2 linked regions of the Arabidopsis thaliana genome follow. The protein of the gene in region 1 binds, or shares a complex with, the protein of each later gene. Each region holds a gene or a part of one and is shown on either strand. Other genes may lie near its edges.

Evidence for each region.
Region 2: TIC110 (region 1) and Tic20-V share a complex: the UniProt entries of both Arabidopsis thaliana proteins name them as parts of the tic complex.

The regions. Positions count from the first base shown.
Region 1 is NC_003070.9:2,129,542-2,137,700, forward strand, and holds TIC110 (translocon at the inner envelope membrane of chloroplasts 110), read right to left. Parts: upstream 6,163-8,159; 5' UTR 6,023-6,162; coding exon 5,499-6,022; intron 5,416-5,498; coding exon 5,356-5,415; intron 5,271-5,355; coding exon 5,147-5,270; intron 5,041-5,146; coding exon 4,972-5,040; intron 4,878-4,971; coding exon 4,779-4,877; intron 4,650-4,778; coding exon 4,583-4,649; intron 4,265-4,582; coding exon 4,200-4,264; intron 4,123-4,199; coding exon 4,028-4,122; intron 3,598-4,027; coding exon 3,470-3,597; intron 3,397-3,469; coding exon 3,296-3,396; intron 3,155-3,295; coding exon 2,938-3,154; intron 2,632-2,937; coding exon 2,477-2,631; intron 2,323-2,476; coding exon 2,197-2,322; intron 2,091-2,196; coding exon 1,119-2,090; intron 1,011-1,118; coding exon 762-1,010; 3' UTR 512-761; downstream 1-511. Other genes in the region: AT1G06930 (TPRXL), read left to right, coding at 1-131; AT1G06960 (RNA-binding (RRM/RBD/RNP motifs) family protein), read left to right, coding at 6,389-6,461, 6,874-7,046, 7,330-7,423, 7,526-7,605, 7,723-7,992. UniProt on the Arabidopsis thaliana protein: Involved in protein precursor import into chloroplasts. Forms a voltage-dependent cation-selective channel at the inner envelope of chloroplasts, which specifically responds to a transit peptide.
Region 2 is NC_003076.8:22,554,168-22,557,736, reverse strand, and holds Tic20-V (TIC 20-v-like protein), read left to right. Parts: upstream 1-2,086; 5' UTR 2,087-2,112; coding exon 2,113-2,742; 3' UTR 2,743-2,859; downstream 2,860-3,569. Other genes in the region: AT5G55720 (Pectin lyase-like superfamily protein), read right to left, coding at 241-465, 645-783, 876-1,690; BAM4 (beta-amylase 4), read right to left, coding at 3,035-3,187, 3,274-3,342, 3,566-3,569. UniProt on the Arabidopsis thaliana protein: May be involved in protein precursor import into chloroplasts. Not redundant with TIC20-I, TIC20-II or TIC20-IV.

The sequences.
Region 1 (8,159 bases):
CATCTGATTTAAGCAACAGAAGAAGATCAATGTGGTTTGAATCTGGTTCGAGTTTAGACTACGGATCGAATAGTGCTAAATCTTCTGGATGTTACGCTTCCCTTGTCAAGGTGTTGCTCAGATCATGTTAAATGATTCTGCCTTTTTTCTTATATTTAACTCTCTCCTATTTTCTTATTAATTTTCACTTCTTTTTTTTCTTTTTTTGTAATCTTGGAAATAATTTCTAAAAACTATGTTTCATCGATTCATATCATCATCTCTATGAATCAATTGATTGGATCATATGGCTTCTATTTTTGTCTTTAAAAGACGTGCTTTTGTATAATTAGAAATTTCGACAAAAACATACTATAACGAGATCAGATCTAGTATACATGTTGATTGTTGAGTATTGTTCTAGTTGTGTGCAGTCATGTGAGACCACCATAGAATTAACAATTAACTTTCACTTACGGTGTTACGGTCAAATCATTTCATTAAAAAAAAAGTTCTCAATGATTGAATTAACTGTTATTCTATTTTTTAGGTTCGTTATGCGGGAACACCCGTCACGTGACACCACATGAGCACTTCAAAGCTGCGCTCTAAATTGTATAAGGGATACACTTCTCGTTTGCAGATTTTCAAATTAATCATATCAAGTTTATGGTTCTGATACAAAATTTTCACAGACTTTGGTCAAATTTCAAATTCAAAATCATTTTTCCACCCTCGGCCGTAACACAATACATAATAACTCAAGTGATTTCTCCAAAGATTTAAAAGACGAAATTGCCCTCTTCTGCAGCAGAAGATAATGCTCCATCTTCCATTTCACGGAGGGCAGTTGCAGTTGAATCATCTATTCCCAGCAGATATTGTAGCCTCAAAACTTTTTCCGGTGCGGGTTTGGGATCACTCTTTGAATAAATAGCATATAGATCAGATAATTCCTCTGAGACCTCCCATGACATTGGCTCAGCCGGCACAGCTTTGTCACATGCAAGCAAATCATTCAGCGACAAGACCTGTAAAACCAAAAAAAAAAAGCATACATACATACACAATTTAGACCCAGAAGCTGAAATATCCATGTTTTCTGTCACGATAAGAGAGGGAAAAGATGATTTGCATACCACTCCTTTAGAGTTTCTCTGCCTGAGTAATGCCACGGCTTGGACCAGCGAATTCGATAATCTACTCTGAGCGAGATCATGGACAACTCTTTTGGCTTTTTCCACATCAATACTGAGATCGGATGGGATTGTCTGGTAGACTTCGGTTTCATCGAATTCACCAGTTCCTGATGAGAAGATGTCACTCACTGTCTTCTTGAATAATTTCTCTCTCAGACTCACAGCGATCATGCTGTCCAGGCTGACATTTGCCTCCTTGAGCTCCCGTATCTGCTTTATGTTCAGTCTTCCTTGGTTAACAGCGGTCTCTATCGCGTTTGCCATTTTTGTGGTGGTTATATTCTTGATAACCTTCTCGGCTTGTGGCTGAGGCAAACCAACTTGTTTTTGCAACTCGTCTAGCTGCTCTACTCTAGCCTTTGTCAATTGCCCATCAGCTAAAATCACTTCAGCTTGTTGCCTAAAAGCCTGCTCGGCTAAACCTACGTGAATGTTGACTATTTCTTTCGAACTCAATCCGAGAATCCCACCAAGCTGATTTAGAAGCAAGTACTCTGAATCGTCTCTCTTTGTTGTGATCTGGGCGCCAAAAGGGATTCTTGTTACCTCTCCAGTTACACAGTAGAGCAAGTATGTTTTGTAGAGATCTATTCTGTCCCTGTCGGGAAGGTCATCTTTGAGAGTTATCTCAGTCTGGCCAGGCTTTCCCATTTTCTCAGCGAGTTCCTTGTCGGGTCTTGTCTTTCTGAGCGATTCAAGGGATCCCCATTCTTCATCTTCATCATCTTCTTCTTTCTCTTGAACAGGGTCCTCCTCAGGTGCCTTATCAGAAGATTCTCCCTTGATATCAGCCACCATTTCAGTCACAACCAACGTGTTGAAAGCAATCATCTTCTTGAGCTCCTTTGCTGAATCAGTACGGTTCTCGGCTGCTCTTGCTCGTCTGATATAGTTTGTGAAAACCCTACGGACCTGCATCAATGAAGGGATTTGATTTTCATGTCTTGCTATGAGAAGTCAGAAAATTTTAACAAATCCTAATACCAAGCATGGAGAAAGTAAATAGTGTGATACTCACAGCTTTGCTAGCAATAGACATGGCAGTCTCTCTGGATAACCGAAGACCATGTGCAGCCTTTCTAACTGATTTGCGAGTTTCAGCATCATAACCATCCACTCCAGAAGAAATGGCATCCCTGACAACCTGGAAAGATTAAACAAAAAGGTAATTAGAGGTAAAACCTTTTGGTAACAAAATGCGAAGGCAGAGAGGGAAGCAGAGGGAAATTGCAGTGCCAAGACCCAAGACCATGAAAAAACCCTTGATAAAGGGAAAAGGGAGGTGATAACTGGATTACCTTTTCAAATATGGTTCCACAGATTTCTGCATGAGCTGTATCAACAGTTTGCTGGGGAATACACAACATAACTCTTAACCTTAATAAAGCAGCAACATTGTCATCGCTCAGCTCTCCATCAGTAACACACTGTTGAAGCTTCTGCCGATAGATTTCTGAGGAAGAGAAGGTGCTTGTCAGATGATTGGGAAAAAAAGACCAAATAGATACTCAAACTGTAAAATAACAGCATGTAACCCACTGAAACACCAGACTTGTTAGAAGTCTGTTAAGAACCAAATCTACAACACTAAAAGCTAGCTTAAAAGGATAAGGAACCCGCAAGTTTACAAGCCATCAACTAAATTGATACCCATGGACACATCTTACATTTGGGCGATTATGTGGCAATTCCAACTGTATACCTCATGCATAACATAAAAACATAAGATTTCATTGTGAACAGAAGGTTCGGCTTATACCTTCATGGATTGCGCCTGCCTTCTGTGCATCAAAGTGCAGCTCTTCGCAGAGCTTTTGAAGGTATTTTGCTTTACTGTCTTGTGCTTCAAGGTCACCACTAGAAACAGCGTTAGCAAGTCTTTTACGGTAAGACTTGGACGTAACATCAACACTAATAGCTTCAGCCTCTCGTTTTCCCAGACCGAGTATGTTTCTAAGTTGGCTCATTGCCACGAGCTACCATACAGTAGAAAGACAATTAGAAATGGAAAAAAACATGCGACTGGGATAGAGGACACAGCATCTGAAAACACTTACTCTCAAAAAAACTTGCAACTAAGCTTTAGTACATAATATCTTATACAAAACTGAGTATACCTTATTTTCTTCTAAGCGCCCACCAGATAAAGCATCTGTAACATATGCTCTATAAAGGAGCTTTAAATCATCCATTCTCCTCTCAAAATCAGACTCATCACCTAAGCCACATAGATCCAAGGTTGAGAGCCAATAATTTTTCTTCAGAAAAGAGAAGGTCAAAAGCATCTTCACCTATCAAAGAAATAGGGCCAACCCCGCGTGCAAATTGATCTGCCTCTGAATGACTTTTCAAGGAAACTAGCAGGTTGTTAAACTCCAGTACTTTTTCAAGCTCTTCCACGACAGATGCCAAACTCTTCCTGGAAAAAATCAGGTCGTTAAAATGACATGCATTGTAAACTACTATAAACTAGACATACTAGATGATCCAATTTGTTTCCACTATTAATTATCACAAGATACAAAAACGCCTATAAAATTAAAATCTCATGACTTTTTTTTAAATACTTATACTATAAGACAATTCACAAAAGCAAAAGAGATCATATGACCAATCAGTTTTTGCAATAACCAAAACTCAAAACTAAAGCCAAAACTTCAATCTCTTTTTTCAACCCGACCAAACTCAATGTTCAAGCAAAGGAATACATATACCCAGCTAAAGTCATAACTCATTGGTATAAGAAATAAAAAAGTTAAATGTGTAACCAAACTGTTCACATGGATAATGATTATTCTATACGATTTTTCTATGCATGATTCTGTAAGCAATATGTTAAAATGATTTACGCTGCTCGTGTGCGGGATTTGAGTATGCTGAGTGCCGATGAAATGTTCTCTACGACTACTTTTCTCGTATGCTCTCTAAACAGGTCTTCAGCAAGCTATGAGGGAGAAGAAACTGTCAGAAGAAGTACAACCAGAGATAGCAGGAAGTCAATGCCACAAAGAAATAGAGTACCTCATCAGAGAGCTTGAATGATAGTTGTGATTTTCTAAGGTCCACAAGGTTTTCTACGTTAATATCTGCAAGAACATGTTTAGAAACATAACCATGTAAGTTTCCATGCATTAAGCTGACGAAAAAGCTAAGTCATATCTTTTTTTGGTTGTCAAAAAGCCATATCTATTATCAATGTTAAATGAGAAGGGACCATTACAGTCGCATGCGAAGTAACAATTAAGGTTGGTATTCAGACAACTTGCTGATAAACGAATATTACAAAACCCAATGGACAAAGAAGTGCCACAATAATCAATATAACCAAGTCAAGCAAACTCAAACCCGTTCTACAAATGTAACATTACTTCCCATCTCAAAATGTAAAACATGAACAACATTACCTCTACCAACTAATTTTAACCGTTCGGCATACAGCTGCTTTGCATTTTCACGAATAGCAATCTCAACCTAGAAATGAGGTCAAGACATTAGCACAGAACTTCAGATTACCAAGAAGGAGTGAGTTGCCAAAATGAAACTTCCATAAAACAACTATTGCGCAAAATCAGAAGTATGAAAAAAATTGGAAATGCCTACCTGAGCATCTGTGACCTTCAATACTCGCTTCCAAGGTAGAAGGAAGGATGAAGCATCTCCAAACACAAGAGCTGAAACATATACAAGCCTCATAAATGCCTGCACTGGAAGCATACAACTTGTGATCACGCTTGTGCTCTCTTTCGAACAATCCTACAATAAACTTAACAAATACTAGGGACTGGCGACTCACCCGACGCTGTTCTGCATCACCTTCACGCTCCCCAGTCTCAAGCCTTTGCCTAAAAATCCTGCGACCAATCTAAACAAAACCAAGGAATTGGTGATTCAGCAATCAAGATCCTTCTGCATCAACTACAAAAAGGCTAACGGCTAATTCAAATGAAGATTAAGAATCTAGAAAGCACCTCCATGTGCATGGCAGCTGCATCAGGTTCGTCTATCCCTAAAGCATTTTTGAACTTGACTATCTTCGCCACTTCATCCCCTTTAAGAGACTGTCCTTCAGTTGGAAGCACGGAAGTTACATACCTAAATCAAGATTAAGATGCAAAGATTACTAATGAATTCCCCACACTAAGAGAAAAGATGAACACAGTATCCTTTGTTGACTCACCGGCAATAAATATCACAAATCTCAGCCTGGAATGCTTCGTCTCCTTTGTTGACACCGTACCTGCAACATATAAGAAGGATCGTTTAAGCAAACTTTTGTTTATAAATCCCAGACACAAATTGACAATTAAATGAAGCACTCACCTATCAGCGATCTTTTCTACATCATCTTTCGTCACAGAGGCAGGATCTTCGAATTCGGCAACATAATTATGCAAACTGATAGCAGCTACCTCCGGTACAGCAGAGTTCAACGCATATACGACAGCTCCACCGGCGGCTCCAGCAACAGCAGCCCCACCAAAGGCAATATTCCTGGAGCCGGCTAAACGGAGCCCAAGGCCGTAACCAGTAGCTAAAGACGCCGCTAATACAACAGCTGAAGTCGCTAGCCTCACCGGCGGTGTCATTTTCTCAACAATCGGTTGCAATCCAGTGAGCTCCTTCTTATTCCCATGGATACCGGGATTCTTCGCCTGCGTAGATACTGATAGTTGGTCGGAGGAAGCAGCTGAGCTACGAGGGAACGAAACTCGATAACGACGGCGAGATAGACACTCAGACTTGGAGAAACGGTGAGGTAAAGTAGGTAGGAAGTGAGAAAGAAGAGGAGACCGAGGAGAAGGTGAAATTGGAGCGTTAATGGCGGTGACGAGTGAGGGATTCATGGTTCCCTCTACTGAGAAAGATCCGAGCAGTCGTTGAAAAAAAGAAGAATCGTAGGGTTTAACGAAAAACAGTAGACAACGGAAGAAGATAGAGATGCGAACGAAGAAAAGGGGAAAGAGATAGGGCCTAACAAAACATCAAAATCCCCTTTCGAACGTCCAGACGTTTTTTAATAATATTATAAAACTACGTGTTGTTTTACTCTTCGGTAACGGTAAGATGTTTACATAAAAAAACAAATTAGACGCCTTGTGTAAATTGGAAACGCCACGATTTCTTCTCTCTTCTTGGCTCTTAGGGCTCGCTAAATTTTCTCAGGGCTGTGACCATCGACCATCGTCGTCTTCGCGGAGCTCAGTTGAAAGATGTTAACGGCTGATATACCACCAAATCAGTCAATCTACATAAAACATATCAATGAGAAGATCAAGAAAGAAGGTAATGCTTACGAAATTCATATAATTGCATCGGTGATTTTCTAAGAGTTTTTGCAATGCTTAAGTAGCTTGGTAATGCTTGTGTGAGCTTCTCTTGAATGAGTTGTCTGAGTTTAAAGTTGCTTAATTTGATGTTTACGAAGGTTAGATTAGATGCATTTAGAGTTATCTTTCTAAGTATTAGGGATTTAGAATTTCTGTCTAATCTTAATAGACCTGAACTAGAGATACTCTAACAAAGGTGCTTTATTTAAGTAATTAAGTAGGAAAGGCGATTGCTTTTGCCATGAAATTTGTTTAGATTGTTTGATTGAAGTCAATGACCTTAAGTTCTTTAGCTGCTGCTTTTGTTTGTCTAAGAGTAATGCTGTTCAAGCAGATCATTGTTTAATGTTTCCACTTGTTTTTTTCAGAGCTGAAGAGGTCTCTTTACTGTTTGTTCTCTCAGTTTGGAAGATTACTTGATGTGGTTGCGTTAAAGACTCCTAAGCTCCGGGGACAAGCATGGGTTGTTTTTACTGAAGTCACCGCTGCTAGCAACGCTGTCCGTCAGATGCAGAACTTTCCTTTCTATGATAAGCCTATGGTACCTTTTTCCTCTCTTATGTTCCAGGTTTATCTATCCCGCTACCGAAAAATGATTTTATCTTGTTATGTGAGACTATAAGCTTAGAAAGTTGCAGAGATTTACTTGGAGGGAAAATTGAGTTTGCTTGCTGATACTTGTTGTTATATAAAATTGAAGGAAGTACAACGACATTAGATGTTGAGGGTATATCATTACACAAGTGATTACTAAGTAAAAGACTAGAAAAAGCTAAATGCAATATTATTATTCAAATCGTGATGTGTGATCTCTGTGGGTGCAGCGGATACAATATGCAAAATCAAAGTCAGATTATGTTACTAAAGCCGAAGGGTCTTTTGTTCCAAAAGAAAAGAAGATGAAGCAAGAAGAGAAAGGTTTAAACTTTCGTTTCCATCACAAGTTCAGATCTTTTCAGCTCATTTCATCTGTGTTTTACTTCGCATCTGATGTTTAACAAAACTGCACATCACTTTCAGTTGAAAGGAAGCGACATGCTGAAGAAACTCAACAACCAAGCATGCCTAATGGCGCAACTACTCAGAACGGAATGCCTGTGGCAATTTCTCTTTCTCGCATCATTCCAACAATACAATATTATCTTCTGACAGACGTCATTATCGCAACTTAGTCTGTAAATCCTTGTTTCCTAATACCCGTCTCTGTAATTTCACAGCCTCCTTTCCAGCCGAGTGGGCAAGACACGATGCCACCAAACAACATACTCTTCATTCATAATCTTCCCATTGAGACGAATAGTATGATGCTTCAGCTGCTCTTTGAGCAATACCCAGGATTCAAAGAGATAAGAATGATCGAAGCAAAACCCGGAATTGCGTTTGTGGAGTATGAAGACGATGTTCAGTCTTCCATGGCCATGCAGGCTCTTCAGGGTTTCAAGATCACTCCGCAGAATCCAATGGTCGTCTCTTTTGCCAAGAAGTGAAAACCAGAGTTTTGTTATGCGGATGAATGGTAATGATATACTAATTAGTAGCTGTTTAAAAGCAAACTGTCTTATTTTATTTGGTTCGTTTCCGATTAGTGGTGTGAATGACCCCGAAGCTTTAGACCAGAATGTAATGAGATCGAAGAATTGAGAGTGATTTGGTT
Region 2 (3,569 bases), on another chromosome or scaffold:
AAAAGGTTGTTAAGTAATTTTAATGTATTTATAAATAAAAAAACTGACGAAACTTTGTGACTCGTAAAAGAAATTTTTTGGTAAAGAAATTGACAATGAACAATTGTTGTTTGGGTCTATGATCATCATCACATTCAGTACAAATCCTATTTACGATAACAATAACCACAACAAGTAGAAGAGCAAAAAAGAAAAAGAAGGACAAACACTAGATTTGGTCACAAGCTTATGTTTGTGTTTTTAACAAGCTTGGTCAATTTCGCAACTAAGAACACCTACTGATGGATGTGTGGTCTTGAGAAGTGAAGCTGGTCGAGCTACCATACTCGAAAATTTCGCGTAGCTCGGAGAATCCTCTTTCCCTGACGGTGTAAAGAAAGCTCCGTTAACCATTTCGTCTCCTTCTGATTTCCAGTTCCATTCCTTCCATTCTTCGTCTCCATCTGCACTCTCTCGCTTTGTAACCTGCGTATAGGGCATGTGAGTTTAGAAGTATGGAGCAAACATTTCCGTCTAGAATCTAATCCATATAGTAAGACACATGAAAATCAAATTTCTAAATGATTAGTCGACTATGAATTAGATTGTACTAATTGTGAGGTTAAAACGCTCTTAGTTTTGTGGAGCACATGTCACGAACGTACCTCCTTGGTGAACTGATTATTGGAAGCTATGAAAACATTTCCTTGGCTAAAGATCGTTGGATTAGCACTTCCACCAATAGCATACATCTTCCAGTCTCTATAAATGTTATTCACTATGTGAAAATATCCATGCCTACACCTACACATTGGTATTTTAAGCACGAATATTTTGGTTAGCTTATAAATTTGACATTAAAAAAAGAAGAAAAAGAAATATAAGATTGTACTAACCTTGGCATTCTTTGGACAAGTCCTTCACCAAAATAGTTAAACGCGATCGTAACTCGCATATCCCGATCACCGGAATACTCATCACTATGGCCCAAAAGCATGACTTCATTATGATTCAACATGTAACTATTCGAAATCGTTATATCCGTGGATCCATTCACCGCATCAATAAGCCCATCGTAACATTTCTCTAACGTACAATGATCAATCCAAATATCTCGAGACTCGAATATCGATATTCCATCTCCATCCGAGTATCCTCCCAACGACGATAAAGCATTCCGTTTCACGGGAACACAATCGTGAATATAAAGATTGTTTATAATAATGTTACTAACTTTATATAAAGTTAAACACGGTCCATAAGCTATTTGTACGTTATTTCCTCTACCATCAATGGTTTTGTATGAAGCTACTTGAAGATCTTGTTTTAGTTGTATTACCATGTCTCGATCAAAAATGATCCATAGAGGTTGATCTTGTGTCGCAGCGTACCGTAATGTACCTGGAGTTGGATTTAGAGGATTGTCGTCTCCTGAATCAGTCACCGTGTAGAACTCCCCGGCTCTACCGCCAATTGAGTCGCGTCCGAATCCAACCGCGCAATCCGCGAGGTTTTTGCGGTTGTCCTTCCAGTTTTCGTCGCATCTCCAACACTCATCGATTGGATTTCCATTGGCTGAGCAAGAAGACGCTGTTGAATTTGATGTCACTGTCGTTGATAGTCTCCTTACTATTGGCGGTTTAGGAATCGCAAATGCAAACGCAAAAGAAGTGTTTAAGAGAAACAAGAAAAACGTACATACAATTGACATTATATGTTGTCTTAAAAAGAGATTAAAACCAACTAACAATTTCACTATGAACATTATGTTTATAATTTGCTCCAATATATATATGCAAGAGACATTGAAGTGCACTAAAAAATAAATACGGAGGTAATTAAATTAGGTGAAAATTGAAAGAATTGGGTCCAATACAAAGGCATTACGCCGTTTTATACCGGTGGATTTTGATATTTAAATATACACAAAAAACAAAGACAATAACAGAGGCTATTTAATTGTTACCTTACTTCAAATAACTACGTACCGTTTTATCATATTAGAAAGATAAGAAGACGACACAATGTTTTAAGCTAAACTTTTAAAACAGAGTGGAGTTTAGTTTATTATCCTCTCATCATGTGTTAAGCAGTCTTTCAGTTTTGTGTGAAGTGAAACAAAAACAGAGCAAAATGGCAATAATATCTCAGTTTTTTGCTCCATTACCATCTCTCACCGGAACCCTAACCCTAACCGGTCGTTCTTTTCTCCCTCTAAACCTTGATACCCAATTCCCAAAACCTAGACTTTCCAGGGACAGAGCCGCCACACTCGTACTCCAATCCAAGGGTGATGATTCCGTCGATGCATCGGATCGGATAATCTCAGCCGTCTGTTACTTCTACCCATTCTTCGATGGGATTCAATACGGCAAATTCATCATCACACAGTACCAACCTTTTCAGATTCTCATCCAACCTTTGTTTCCCGCCATCAGAGCTTTCAAGAGCTTCCCTTTCAATGGGTTTCTTATCTTCATCACTCTCTACTTCGTCGTTGTGAGGAACCCTAATTTCAGCAGGTACGTCAGGTTCAACACGATGCAGGCGATTGTGCTTGATGTGTTGTTGATTTTCCCGGATTTGCTTGAGAGGAGCTTTAATCCTAGAGATGGGTTTGGTTTAGATGTGGTGATGAGTTTGGACAGCACAGTGTTCCTCTTCTTGCTTGTCTCTTTGATCTATGGATTCTCTGCTTGCTTGTTTGGTCTGACCCCGAGGTTGCCTCTTGTTGCCGAGGCTGCTGATAGGCAAGTCCTTTGATTCAATAATATCTTTGTATGTAACACATTTGCTGTGATTAAACCTTCTGTATTGGATCGCTTTCTGATAATCAAAACATACAATGTAACTTTTTGATCCAATGAAAAAGGTTTCTGCAAGACTTTTGCAATAGAGATAGAACAAAATGAAGAATAGAAACAGAGAGAGATTTTATCATATAACAATTTTTGATTTGATTAGTTCTCCTCATCACATATCTGAAAAAGCAATATGGTGAGGAAAGATCGATTCTGTAACAAAAGACAAACACACCAATGGGTGGTGAGTGTGTTTACATATCTGCACTCATCTGTCTAATGAAAGGGACAAAGTTGTTCCAGTTCTCGACCCTAAAGATCTTCTCATTCATTCTGCAAAACGTAAATGATCTTAGAGTGTCGCCATTCGGTTGCACACAGTTCTCTCGTATTTGCCTTAGTCCCATCTGTTGCAGAATTCATATAGAAAATGGTTAATAACCACCACTTTGACCTCAGACGTATAAGACTAAAGCATGTGCAAATAACTCACCTCATCAAATCTTTCGCTTGTGTTTCTACCAGTCACATGTATTGTCCACTTCTTCGAAACATCATGTATCTAGCAAAAGAAAATGTGATAATGCTGATTTGTTCATGTTCTTATAAGGCATGCTTAATTGTCTAATGTAGCAGCGCAGTAAGAACACAGAGACTAGACTAGTTTGAAGTGTCTCTACGGAAGTAAATAGTGCTTCAACAGTGACCGGTCTAAATACAAGTAACATACATACTTCATATGAACATAATTGAATTCTGGATCAAGGGTTTACGAAAGAAAGTACCTGT